Linked DNA regions of Arabidopsis thaliana. The protein of the gene in region 2 interacts with the protein of the main gene of each other region in a pairwise test. Each region holds a gene or a part of one and is shown on either strand. Other genes may lie near its edges.

Region 1 (4,515 bases), on a different chromosome or scaffold from region 2:
TGGCAAATTGTAAGCAATTAGCTGTGAAGAGTCAAGACTTGGTTGGGTTATTTGCAAAATACTTCTATGTATTGTTTTTGTTTGTGGCTAATATAAATAAAGGAATGGGACAGAGATTAGGCCTGTTTATTTTGGGCCAAGCATAAACAGAGTGGGCTTTTATCTTCGTTAGGGAAGTAAAATTTACTATCAGACTCACAGACAGAGTCAGAGTAGTGGCTGAGAGATATAGGAAATGGGGACCAAAAGACCACTGAAGAAGAAATTCGAGAGTTGACGTCATAGTGGCACGTTTGAAGTTCGAACAAAGAGAAACAAGACTGACACAGAAAGATTGAAATACTTGTCAGTGCGCCTTCGTATTTTTGGCTTTTACTTCACTGACAAATAATTATGCTCCTATTTTATTATTCAGTGAATGGTACAGAAAACATTGGTATATAATTTTCATGAAGTAAACAAAACTATATTAGGCAAGAAAAAGTGGAGACAAAATGATGAAAAGGGAGAAGAAATGGTGTGTTAGTGAAAGATCTTAGTGCAATTCAAATTTCAGTCTCTTTTATGGGACCATAATACTCTCATTTCAAAATCAAACTTCATCACCTCCTTTCCTCAATTTCAGGGGTTAATTCTAGTGTTTTTTTCATTCACATGAATTTGGTTTAGCTTCTTTCGTTTATACCAAAGAAATCTAGTCAAATGTTACATACAATATATATTACAAATGAACATAAACGACAAACCATCATCACTCCAAGCACTAGATAAAAAAGAGTAAGAGAATAGGCTAGAGACTAATTAAACATCCAAATCTAACCCCAAACAATTCAATTCTAAAAGCTAACTCAAAATACTAGATTAACTTATCGGACCAAGTAGTCAACGCCAAGAGGAAACGGTGAGGAGAGGCACATTGTTCCAAGCCAAGGAGATGAAACCTGGCTCCGATTCAACAAGTGAATACAATGTACTATAATTGTAGTTCCATAGTAGCAGCTTCGCTTGGCTAACCGCGTAATTACTCGGTTTAACCGGCTCAAATCCAGCTTTCTCCATCAACACTCTCCATTGTTCTTTCTCCTCCATTAACCCAAACCGGGTTCCCGGTTTATTATTATCATCATCTGATCGGACCAAATCCATAATCCTCCTACCGAACAACACTCTCTCCACTCTCAGCCTTTCTTTCGAATCTCGATCCAAATTCGGTTCAAGCGATTCAAAAACCGCGGAATAAAACCGGAGAGAGTTCTTAACCCGGTTAGCAAATTCAACCCGGTTTAAACTGACTTCGTATTCTCCAAGCGTCACAATCCTCGGGTTTAACGATCTAGCTAACCGGAGCGCCGTACCAACAGTCGTCGCTGTTTCATCTAGAAGCTTATAAAGCTCAAGCATAAAATTCACAACCAAAACCTCATCCGGGTCAACCCGAAAACTTGACCCGTTTAGTAATTGAATCGGAGTCAGAACCGGATAAAACTCGAAATTGAGATCCAAAATCGCCGCGAAATCACGGAGACGGTTTCCCGTAGCGATCAGAGACGGTCCCGGTGAGTCTCCTAGAGACGGAGCGGGTATACCCGAAATCCGGATCCGGGTGGGTTTACCAGAAGAACGGGTCGCTAAAGCTTGTAACAGAGCAGACCATTGAATACCTTGAAAAATCCCGAAATCGACTATGTGAATGTTGTTTGATTGATTCGTAGCTTCGAGAATTGCTTGATTCGCTGTTAAATGAGCGAACTTTGAATATGGACATGCGTCGTTTAAGGTTTTGTATGAGAGAATGAAATCTTCTAGGGATGACGACGACGATGACGACGGAGACTCTGTTTCTTTATGAGACAGAGCTTCTGCGAAGTAATACCCGACTCGTTGTATCGGGTCGCCTGATTCGGACACGGATTCTTTGATCCGAATTAGTGTGTCCGGTTTAGTTTCCGGTTTACGTGCATAATCGTGGATAGCTTTAAAAATCGGCTGGTTTAGATCAAAATCCGGCTGCGGCGGGGGAGGAGGAGGATGTTGTGGTGATGGCGGAGATGGAGACCATATAGCGGTGGAAGCTGGTGGCGGAGGGAGTTGTTGACTCGCTGAGTCATCTTTGTTGACTCGGTTGAGATATGAAGGAGCACTGAGTCGACTCGGGAATGAGACGAATGGATCATGGCCGTAGATTGGGAAGTCTGGATTGGTTTGTGACGCATCTCCACCGTTGATCAAACTCTCCATCCACTCGTCGGAGTCAAACTCCTCGGAAGCGACGGCTGCGTTTTGATGATGCTCCAGGTGTGGAAAGTGAAAACCTGGGTCGTTGGTTACTTGAAACGGGTCGGAGAAACCCGAACCGGGAAGAGTAAACCCGAAGGATGGATTGGGCCAGGGGTTGGGTTCTTGTTCTTGTTCTTCTTGTTGTTGATGTTGTGATTGTTGTTGCTGCTTCTGTTTGATGAGTTGTTGTGCTATAGCCATTAAGTTTCCGCTGTCGGTGCACATATACGCCATTCTCCGACTCACTTTCGCCGGCGATGAAGGCGTTTTTTTGTCTGTTATTTGGTGGTGATTGAGTAAGGCCCAGAGAGAGAGAGGGATATGAATGAAACCGGAGAGATTTTAGTAGGAAGAAAAAAGTAAGAAAGTGAGTATTTTCATTTTGATTTATCATTTTCTTTTTTTTTGTCATCCGATTTATCATTTTCGAGTACTGTATTTTTAATCAATTACCACTTTAGTTTAAAAGTACAAAATTACGTTATTAACTGCAAGAAATGAAGAAACTATAAAACCAACAACAACAACAAAAAATGAAGAAACTAACTAACATAGTTTACTAAAAAACTCAGTTTTGTATTTAATTATTTTCAAGAATTTAATAATAGAAATGTAATTTATCAAAATATCAATTGAATAATTTCTATATCTCATGAATTTGTAGTTTCGTATAATCTTACAAATTTATTCAGAAACCTTTTGACCAAAAAATAAAAAATACATAGGTTTTTTTTTGTTAAATAATTATTACCACTCTGTTAATATGGGTAAAAAAAAGAGTTGACGTTATGAAAAAAAAGAGAGAGTAAAACGATATCTCACTTATGGGACCCACAGACACGATGACGTCATGTATCGGCAGTTACGTATCGAAGAGTGTGACCTCATCTCCACCGTCTAGAATCAGATCAATGGCTTTGGCTGAAATGGTGAATGTGACACGTCGACAACTGTCTTCTGCTACTTGTCACCTGCATGTCGCCTGCAACTTTTCTGTCTTTTTTCATTTTAACTAACAGTATTATAAAGGTAAAAAGATTGATGTAAGAAAAGTAAAAAGAATTAGGTTATTATCTTCTGCTTTCAAGCCGCAAAGGTCAAGGTTTTTCAAAGCTGTTTCTTATCAACTAAAAGGGTCGTTAAATTGGACTTTGGTTAACAAATTTCAGTGACTTCATTGGTTTAGTTTCAGTTACTTTTGTAAAAAAACCTTTCGACAAGTTAAGCTAACATCTTGAATATGACTTGAGCAAGCAAAAATTAAACAATAGACATGTTTTATTTGTATACGCATGTCTTTTTTATCTCAACGTTAGTGTTGTGGAGGACGGCTTGTGGGTCCGTAAGTAGGCCCATATACAATGGAGCAAAAGCGATTTGTGGCGGGCTCTACTAGTATCTGTTGTTGGTGGACGAACTTTGACGAAGAAAATGTAGTAGCCATTAGCCAAAAGCTAAAAATTACACAAAAATACCAAAAAAAAAACACAAGCAAAGAAGAAACAAGAAAAGAGTCCAAAGAGGATTATAGAATTTAAAAGTCTTTCAATAACAAACCAAGTTTTATGAATTATCATTCATACACGACGCATAGTTCGAGAATTTGCTTATTTGAGGTTTGAGTGTGGAAGCTCTTTGTGACTTTGCAATTTCTAAAAACCTAAAGCGAATGAAATAGAAAAGAGCAATAGCGAACAAAAAGCACATGGGAACGACACTTGACTCTTTGAGACATCACTCTTTTCATTTCATCGTTGTATCCGCGTCAAAAGGCCTACTTCTCCACTACTTATAACTTAAATATCTAAATTACATTACTAAACATGGTATATGGTCCCTGGCCCAAGTCTACTTTTGATTTTCACTTTTGACATTTTTTACTACAAAGTGCCATGGACTGTTCTAAATTGGTAATGATTTCAACAAGGAGAATGAAGAAGATGATATTTTTGAAAAGGACTTGTCTTTGAAAATGGCAATCCCACTTTAGTGTTTAACCATTGCACCTATCTGCAAGTGGACTTGGAGAAAATAGATAGAGAGAGAGAGAGAATGAGTGGTGTATGAAAAGGACATGAGTAAGAATGAAAGGGTTTGATTTGTCTTTTCTTTCTATCCAAGTCATCGGTGGGGTTTCTTATGTATGAACAAAGAGTGGCATTGAGTCATCCCCAAGAAAGTCTCTCTATATATTTACCATTTTTGTCACATTCTTTGCTTTTTTTTTTAAATACTAAT
Region 2 (5,646 bases):
AGGTTAAAACTTTGGACTGATATGTGTCTAATGTTTCTTGATCTTTATCTACATTCTTGCAGGTAAAGACGGGTTTTGATGCGTTCTCTGTGAGCCTCACCTACAGTCTATATGTTTCCTTCGTTGCGTATGAAAGAAACAGCTTATGTTAGAGGTATCTTATGGGTTTTTTTTTAATCTCGCTGTGCAAAAGTGTTCTTCACTCTCTCTGTTTTTGAGATGCCTTTTGAATATAAAGTTTTCAGTCTTTTATACAGAGAAGATTGACATCTAGAGGAAATCTACTAAGGGCTTGGTTTGTGTATTTTGTGATTCATGTGGATAAATTTGGTACTTGTGCCATTACTCTTTAAAAGCAATCACTCTTTGTCTTTTATCTTTTTGAAAACTTTTTCTCAAAAATCGAAACCAAATTGGGAATTGTTACAGCTTTTATTTTATTTGTAACTAAAAATCATAGAGCCAGACCATAATTGGTTTGACTAGTCTTTGATTCTTAATATTTTCCTAGAACAGGTAAACAAATGCAATAGAAAGAACAACCAAAAACGTTTTACCAACAAGTAAATGGAAACAATATAAAAACCATAACTTAAACTGACAATTACCAATCAATAAGATGGCCAGTATCCATCCAAGTCCATGCACTGGCTCATCTCCACATTTCCAAACCCGTTTTCGCCATTGTACGAAGCACTAACCGCGGCAACATCCTCAAGAGACACAACAGGAGGCGGCTGGACCAGTGCACCGCCAAGGTTGAGGTTGAGCCCTGAGACAGGCATGTGGGTGTAGTTCATTAGCTGCTGATGAGAAGAGTCCATGGTGGTGCTTGTAGAGGCACGGAAGACTCTTGAGAGCTCAGCTAGGTGAACGGCGTTTGCCATGAGGGATTGGTTAATATTGAGGCTCGGGTGTGGTTGTAGATGCGGTGGGAGTTGAAGGAGGTCTGATGAGTAATTAGGATTATTGTTGTTGGTTGATAGTATTGAGGCTCTTGTGTGGTTGTTGTGGTGATGACTTGTGCTGCTGCTACTGGTGCTTATGTATTTCTTGGTTGCTTCTGTTTTCTTGAACACTCTACACACTACCCACTCGTCTTGCTGCATTTACATGTTACATCATGAAAAATGAAATGAGAATTGTTGAGTTTATGTATATTCTTCTTGTGAAACACTAATCCCACAAAAAAAAAAAAACATTCAAGACTCGTATTTAAATCATGACCATGACATAATGTATATTTGGTAGAAGAATAACAAAGGAAAATAGTGTACCTTGGAGGTTCTATATGAGGACTTGGAGTGAAGTCGATACTCATGCATGACCCAACAAGTCTTCTCCCCACGAGGAGCTCGTCCTCTGTAAAAGACCAAAGTCTTCTTCATCCCGACCAACTCCGAGGTTGTGCTATTGAATATCTCTTTGTCTTTTCCTGTGGTTTTCCAATATCCTGTATTCGTCGCCCTATTCGTCCTCACTCCCGTCGGGTACTTCCGGTCCCGGAGGCTAAAAAAGTACCATTCTTTTCCTCCCATTTTCGCCTTCTCTATCAACATTATAAATCAGAAACTTTGTGAATAACTTGGCGATTTAGCTGACTTTTTTTTTATCAAATATTTCCAAAATTTTAGCACGTAACTAACAATTATGTTTCTTCTTTTTTGCTTCTGTGAATGATGATAATAAATTGTTTTAGTGATGATTAATAGAGTAACTCCTTTATAAAGATAGTATTGTTGGTATATTAGATGAATAGTAGAAAAATAAAATAGCGAAAACGTTTTGAGTTGAATAATTATGAATGTTAAAAAACTATGTTTATCTAGATTAATGATTTGTTATGTTTTTTTTTTAATTATAATTTTAACATATGCATCATATATAGCAGAATCAATTTCTAAAACGTGAAGATTTGAAGAATGGTAAGAAAATAACGATATTGCATTTCTTTAAAGTGAAATTGCATTTTGTGTGGAGGGGAACGAAATGGACGGAGACACGAGGAGAAACCGACCCCAACACCTATACGGCTACACTCATGAACTAGATAGTTAAGCAAGTCCAGAATCAACTATGAGCAATTCGAAATACGGGTGACAAAAGATACGAATCAGGCCTTCAAGCTTGGTTTGCCTCTAGGATTTAAATGTAAATCACTTGTCTATTAATTGCTTTCAAAAAATCTTCAGCATTTTTGCATTTCGATGTAAAAGGTTTTTTTTTTTTCTTAATTTAAGATTTTATTCAGAAAAATAAAAATAAAAAGTAAAGTGAAAATGTAAATGTAAATAAGTGGCCTGTTGCGGATTATTGAATTTTTTGTTATCTTAAAAATGGTTTAGTTTGGTTTAAATATAAGAAACAAAGATATTGTTAGTTTATCGGATTATGGATAGAACTAATTAAAGACAAAATAAGTAGATAAGAAATTAACGTACGTACGGTAGTGAATGCATGACTTCCGTTCATGCAACTAATGTTTGTTAGGAAACTTCATTGTGTGACTTTCTATTTTAAAGATATATGCTTACTATTTTTTTAAATCACCGAGTTTTTTTTTTCTCACAGAAACTTAAACTATTACATAGACTTTTTTTTTCTTGGATTGATATATATATATATATATATATATATTCCAAAGATTAACATTTAGTATACATCTAGCCTCCGTTCGATAAGCTCATGTCTATAAGCTTATATTTAGTACAAGAAAAGAGTTTTGTAGATTGTGGATGTGATATCTAACCGGTGTACATTTTTTTTACACTAACTGACTTACGATTAGTACGTCGCCAAGAATGTACTCATGATATTATGGCATTTTCATTAGGCAAAAAATATAGATAGTGGGTGTTATGAACTTTTAAATGCTTCCCAAAATAGAAAGATCATTTAACATGAACACTATGTTTTCCGTTTAAATACACACACATTTATGTGTTATGTGTGTACAAGTAGTATATCCATATACACATCCATGCGCACACACACAAACACATATATATGGTTCATTTAAGTCATGTTACTCATGTGTGTATTAGTTGTATATGTGTAAAGATATCCAAAGCAATAAGCAATATGCATATATAAAGACACATATTCCTTTGGATATCTTTAAATCCAAATAATATAGGTCTTACCAAATTTTAAAGAAATCAAAGATATATATCAATATATATATATATTATATATACATGTATCGACATAGGAAAAAAAATATGTTTATTCATACATGTGATCTTTTAATTTGTGTGTGTCTACGAATAAGAGACTTAAGATAAATTAACGTACCAGGAAGCTCCCATGGCTCGGACTTGTTAAGATCAACGTCAGCGATTGCTTTCCCGGTGAAGTTTTGATCGGCAATCTTATTAACCAAGTAATATGAGATTAGCTCCTCATCCGTCGGATGAAATCTGAAACCCGGTGGCAAAGCTTCTTCTTCTTTCTTATGCTGCTGATGATCTCCTTGTTCCATTTTATATGATCTTTAGTTTACTCCAAATCCAAGAACCTTTTTATACCTGCTTAAAACACATAGTAACAAGTCTAAGTTTCACATAGATCCTAGCGTTCTACAACTGTTTATCCATAAGACAAAGGTATTAAAGGAGGAATTCGAAAGAAGAGAGAATAGTAAAAGATCGATATATATGTATGATATGTATAGGGTGAGAAATTGGGCTTACTTGTATAGATGAGGAAAAACCAGACAACTAAAACTTTTATGAGATTAGGGTTTTGATGGTATTTATATATCATGAGACAAGGATGACTTGCGACTATTCTTAGGAGGAAAAAGATGAAGGAAGACGACAAAGAGTAGGGTTTTTTTCTTCTTACTTTATCGTGAATGGGATTAAAAAACAATTACGCTAACACGGTTTTGATTAATTTATAAATACATACACATATTTATCAATTCTAAGTTTTGTTAGCATATTTAGAAAACCCAATTACCATCTAAGTTTGAAAGACATAGAATTTTCAATAAGACGCTGTAAGAATATAATTTACATTTCAGTGTTTATGTGATTGTTTATAAATAATTAAATAACATTACTATTGTATGGGGTAGAAATTATTATGTAGAAAAGGGAGGAAAATGTGGAAGAGAGTGTGTGCATGAAGCTCTCACCTAATAAGGGTCTTCAAGTACAAGGTACATGCAGCTAAACCTCACACGTCCAAATTTTATCCTTTGTTTATTTTGTGTAGTTGGTCAAGAAATTCTCCTTTTAGGACCCTTATTAATTCATCTTAGCTTATACATATATACAGATATACTTATACACACACCCACATGTGTATATTCCCTATATATATGAATGAACTATGTTGGTGTTAAGAACGGAAAAAAAAAAACCTTATGTTGGTGTTGGTGTCGGATCACGCACGAGCCGGTCCGTTTTGTTGCTAATTACGACTCCCAAAAAAAATCATATGTTTGGTTTAGGGGTCAATGGTCGATGGTCAAAGAATCAAATGGTTTATATGATTTAATTCAAATATAAAATGGTCATGAATAACACATCAAATAAAGAAAGAAGGAAGACTACCCATATATATGGACTATGGATGGATCCAAGTTTTCTCACTGTCTTTTCCACGTGAACAATTTTGTTCCAAATATTAGCTATTCTTCTATATAATTAAACACAATAAAATATTTACTGTTTTCCCAAAAATAAATTACCAAAAAAGGACACATAATAATTAATGACAATTTTATTTTTTGACTTTTTTTTATTTTGTCCATTTATGTTTTTATTTTATTCGAGTTGGTATATATTCACAAAAAAATTGATTATTCACAACTTGATCACGTATCTGTTGAGAATCAAATTAAAGACCTCCAAAGAAAAGAGATTTAATGGGAAAAAAAAACTCCCGATGTGACTGTAAACTCTTCTCCTCAACAAAACTTGTGACATTTTTGTTACCTCGACAAGAAAAAAGAAGAAGAAGAAGAGAAGTTATGCTCGCTGAGTGCAAGCGTTGAGTTTTCTTTTCAAGTAGATATATCAGTTTGTTGAAAGTAAGTGTTGAGTTTACGTTTAATTGGAAAGTGAATTTTAGCTTGCTAAAATTAAATGTTGCGTTATCTCTTCGCATATAAATAGATTGCAGTTCTGTGGATGTAATTTTGAGTTCTATCTTCACACAAAAATAATTTAGCTCGTTGAGGCTGTTTTGAGTTCAATCTTCTTAGAAAAGTACTAAGTATTGAGTCATCTCTTCCGCTCAAGACCGCAAAATGACCAATGTTAGTTCCATATATAATATATCTAAGATCAGATATGGATGAGTTTGCGTGTGTGTAATTTGAGTCTCCTTCAATTATCTTAAGGATTTCATGTGATCATTCAACAACCCGCTGATTAATTCGCTCCAACACAAATACATATTTGGAAATCAACCTAGCATTTTAGGTACCCTCACTTCAAGATCATTTTGTATAAACGTAATATATAATCATTCTTTACGGTCCAAATATTGCGGACACATTGTTGGTTTTCTTCCAAACTTTTTCCGACGTCTTGTCCTAATATATTGATTTTGCCCGACAAAAAAAAGGTGTATAGAGTAATTAATCAATGGAAACCTAACATTTAACTTTGAAGTTTTGAAATTCCGGTTTGA
Region 3 (2,956 bases), on a different chromosome or scaffold from region 2:
TATTTCCACCAAAAACTTTTATAAACAAATTTTCCCGAAAAAAAAAAAAGAAATTCACGAAAGATTTTATAAAATTCATGAAGGATTTAAGAAATTCATGAAGGGTTTCAAGAAATTCAGAATTAAACTTTTTTTTTTTTGTAACCCTTCCTTAATTTCATGATAATTTTTCATGAATTTTGTAAAATCTTTTCTGAATTTTGTGGAAACTTTCAAGGAAATTTAGGAAGACTTCTACAAAACTAAGGAAGGGTTTCACGAAAGATTTTTTTTTGTGAAATCCTTCTTGAATTTTGTAAAATCTTTCTTGAATTTCGTGAAATTTTTTCCAGTTTTCGTAGAATCCTTCCTAAATTTTCTTATGTGGAAAAAATTTGACGGAATGTTTTGACAAAAATTGTTTTTGGCGGGAAAGTTTTTACGGAATTTTTTTTGGCGGGAAAATTTGACAAAAAAAAATTCACGGAAAAATTTGAAAGATTTTTTTTTCACGGAAAACTTTGACTGATAATTTTTTTAATTAGGTGCTATTTTAGGAAGAAAATGTTTTGAGTGCTATTTGTAGATATTTTCAAATGAGGTGCTATTTTTGGAAGAAAATGTTTTGAGTGCTATTTGTAGATATTTTCAAATGAGGTGCTATTTTTGGAAGAAATTTTGTGTGCTAATTGTGTCAATCTTTTTTTTTTTGTTAACCGATATTAATTAGAGCTCAACAAAGTCAATTCACGTAAAATGTTGTTTACATATGTGATATATTGTGGTTCAATATAATTTTTTTTGTGCAAAATTATCCGTATTTATATTTGCACTATGAAATATTAAAGGTAAATAAAAACTTATGAATTCTTCTTTATTAATTCCTTCAAATATACTGAGAATAATAATTCTTGTAAACTAGAGAAATTTTAACATTAACCTATTTTTCTATTTTCTTTGGGAGTTTCCTATTAAGGTAACTTTAAGAATAGAAACTAGTTATGTATTTAAAACGATACAAACTAGGATATCTAAATTGTATTAAAAAGATTGTACATTCAAAATTTGTATACGAGATCTTCAAATTTTGTATATAAACATCGAATTATATAAAATATTTTTAATAACTAAAAAAAAATATTTGTATCTTTGGCGGTCAACTAAACCTTTTTTTATAGCATATATATATGATATATAAAGTTTCTTTATGATATAATTATCTATCTAACATTTAAGATTGTATTAAAGTTTCGAATTTTATGTCTACGTAATTTTGTTTCCTTTCATTTTATACACAATGTTGTATTGTTTGTACATGAATTCTTTTCAAAATAATTTTTTAGATATCATTCATATAAAATAGAGCTAATGAGATAATAAATTACCTTGAAGGCTTGAACATTGTCGAGACAAAAGTTGAAAACAGAAGGACAAAAGATCACTGTCAAATAATTATTAATACATCAGAAAAATAATTAAAAACGATAATATTGTTTTCAGTATTCACCTACACATAATATGAATATCATGTTTACATATTTCGACCTTTTTTGATCGGTTCTAATAATCTATATCTCAAAACTAACCAATCTCATCTAGATTCCGTCAAATTAAGTTTAGTCTATAATTACGAAACTAAAAAATATTAGCAAATGGGAAAGTGCTAGAGTCATTGCACTAGTTTATTATGTGAAACACGAAGAAACACGGTGGCGCGTAGAAATCACCTAGAAACTACGAAGAAGACGTGAACCCCACGTCTCTCTTTCTTCTTCTTCTTTCTCTATCTCTTCCCATTACAAAACTCAAGAAGATGTTAAAGTACGAAACATGTCATACTTCAAAAGAAACGAAGGAACAATTGTGTTTGCGTTTGCGAGCATCGGGTTCATAGCGTTTTATATCATTAATTACTACATTCGGCGATGCAGAAACCGTGCCGCAGCAGCCGGGGACATTGAGGAAGCTCGAATGAGTCCGAGGAGGCCACCGCGAGGACTTGACGCTGAAGCCATCAAGTCGTTTCCTTCATTCGTTTACACGGAAGCTAGAGGAATTGAGCCAGGAATAGGCGAGCTAGAATGTGTTGTGTGTTTGAATGAATTCAAAGACGATGAAACGCTGCGTTTGGTACCACCTTGTGTACATGTGTTTCATGCTGACTGTGTAGACATCTGGCTTTCTCATAGCTCCACATGTCCTATCTGTCGTGCTAAAGTAGTTCCTTAATACGAGTCTCTTAATTAGCCTTTTACTATGCATTTTGCGTTACATAGTTCTCCCTTTGTAAATAAATTATCTTTATAGTGTTGATATTTTACCAACCGTAATGATGATACTACTCCATGGAAGGAAATAATCTACAAAGGAATTGAGGCATATTGAATTATTCAATGTCATGATGATGATGATGAATTAGACTAGAAAATGACAAAAACATAGTTTATCTCTTTGGTTACTTGTTCATGTATTACACACTAAACACATCTATTTGGCTTTGGAGAGGGACCACCTATCATGCTGTGTACAACAAATATGTATATATGTAAGTTACAAGTTAATGAAACGTTCGGATATATAGTTATATACCATACTTTGAAGGCTTTAATTAGTTACTCATATGATGTAAACATTTGTTATGGTGCGAATAATCTAGCACCAAATACATAAACCTTATTGGTCCGTCACATTCCATTGAGAGGACGTGAACATCAGAGGGATGTGACTGACCAATAAGGATTAGGTCAAAACTGTTGGAAAAGTCTTGTTGCGTAGATCAACAAGTTAATAGAGAGGGCATGAGTAATGTAGTACTTGTTCTACGTCTATAGTGACGTAAAGACTTCTTCAAAAGTCAAAACGTTAGAGGAAGAAGCCAAATCAATCATTCCGACCAAAACTAATCTAACTAAACATAGTAGTAATACAATATGTATTGTCGTGACGAGTACAAACCAAAATGTGTTTAGTATTATAA

What was found.
Region 1: the proteins of NAC038 (region 2) and AT3G50650 interact in a two-hybrid assay, tested with the Arabidopsis thaliana proteins (one large-scale study listed by BioGRID).
Region 3: the proteins of NAC038 (region 2) and AT4G09100 interact in a two-hybrid assay, tested with the Arabidopsis thaliana proteins (one large-scale study listed by BioGRID).

The regions. Positions count from the first base shown.
Region 1 is NC_003074.8:18,805,590-18,810,104, forward strand, and holds AT3G50650 (GRAS family transcription factor), read right to left. Parts: upstream 2,655-4,515; 5' UTR 2,512-2,654; coding exon 883-2,511; 3' UTR 550-882; downstream 1-549. UniProt on the Arabidopsis thaliana protein: Probable transcription factor involved in plant development. Involved in environmental abiotic stress resistance. May increase the expression of stress-responsive genes. Binds DNA in vitro.
Region 2 is NC_003071.7:10,382,906-10,388,551, forward strand, and holds NAC038 (NAC domain containing protein 38), read right to left. Parts: upstream 3,721-5,646; 5' UTR 3,693-3,720; intron 3,576-3,692; exon of another isoform or gene 3,528-3,575; 5' UTR 3,482-3,527; coding exon 3,295-3,481; intron 1,550-3,294; coding exon 1,278-1,549; intron 1,104-1,277; coding exon 612-1,103; 3' UTR 592-611; downstream 1-591.
Region 3 is NC_003075.7:5,809,447-5,812,402, forward strand, and holds AT4G09100 (RING/U-box superfamily protein), read left to right. Parts: upstream 1-1,668; 5' UTR 1,669-1,809; coding exon 1,810-2,208; 3' UTR 2,209-2,400; downstream 2,401-2,956.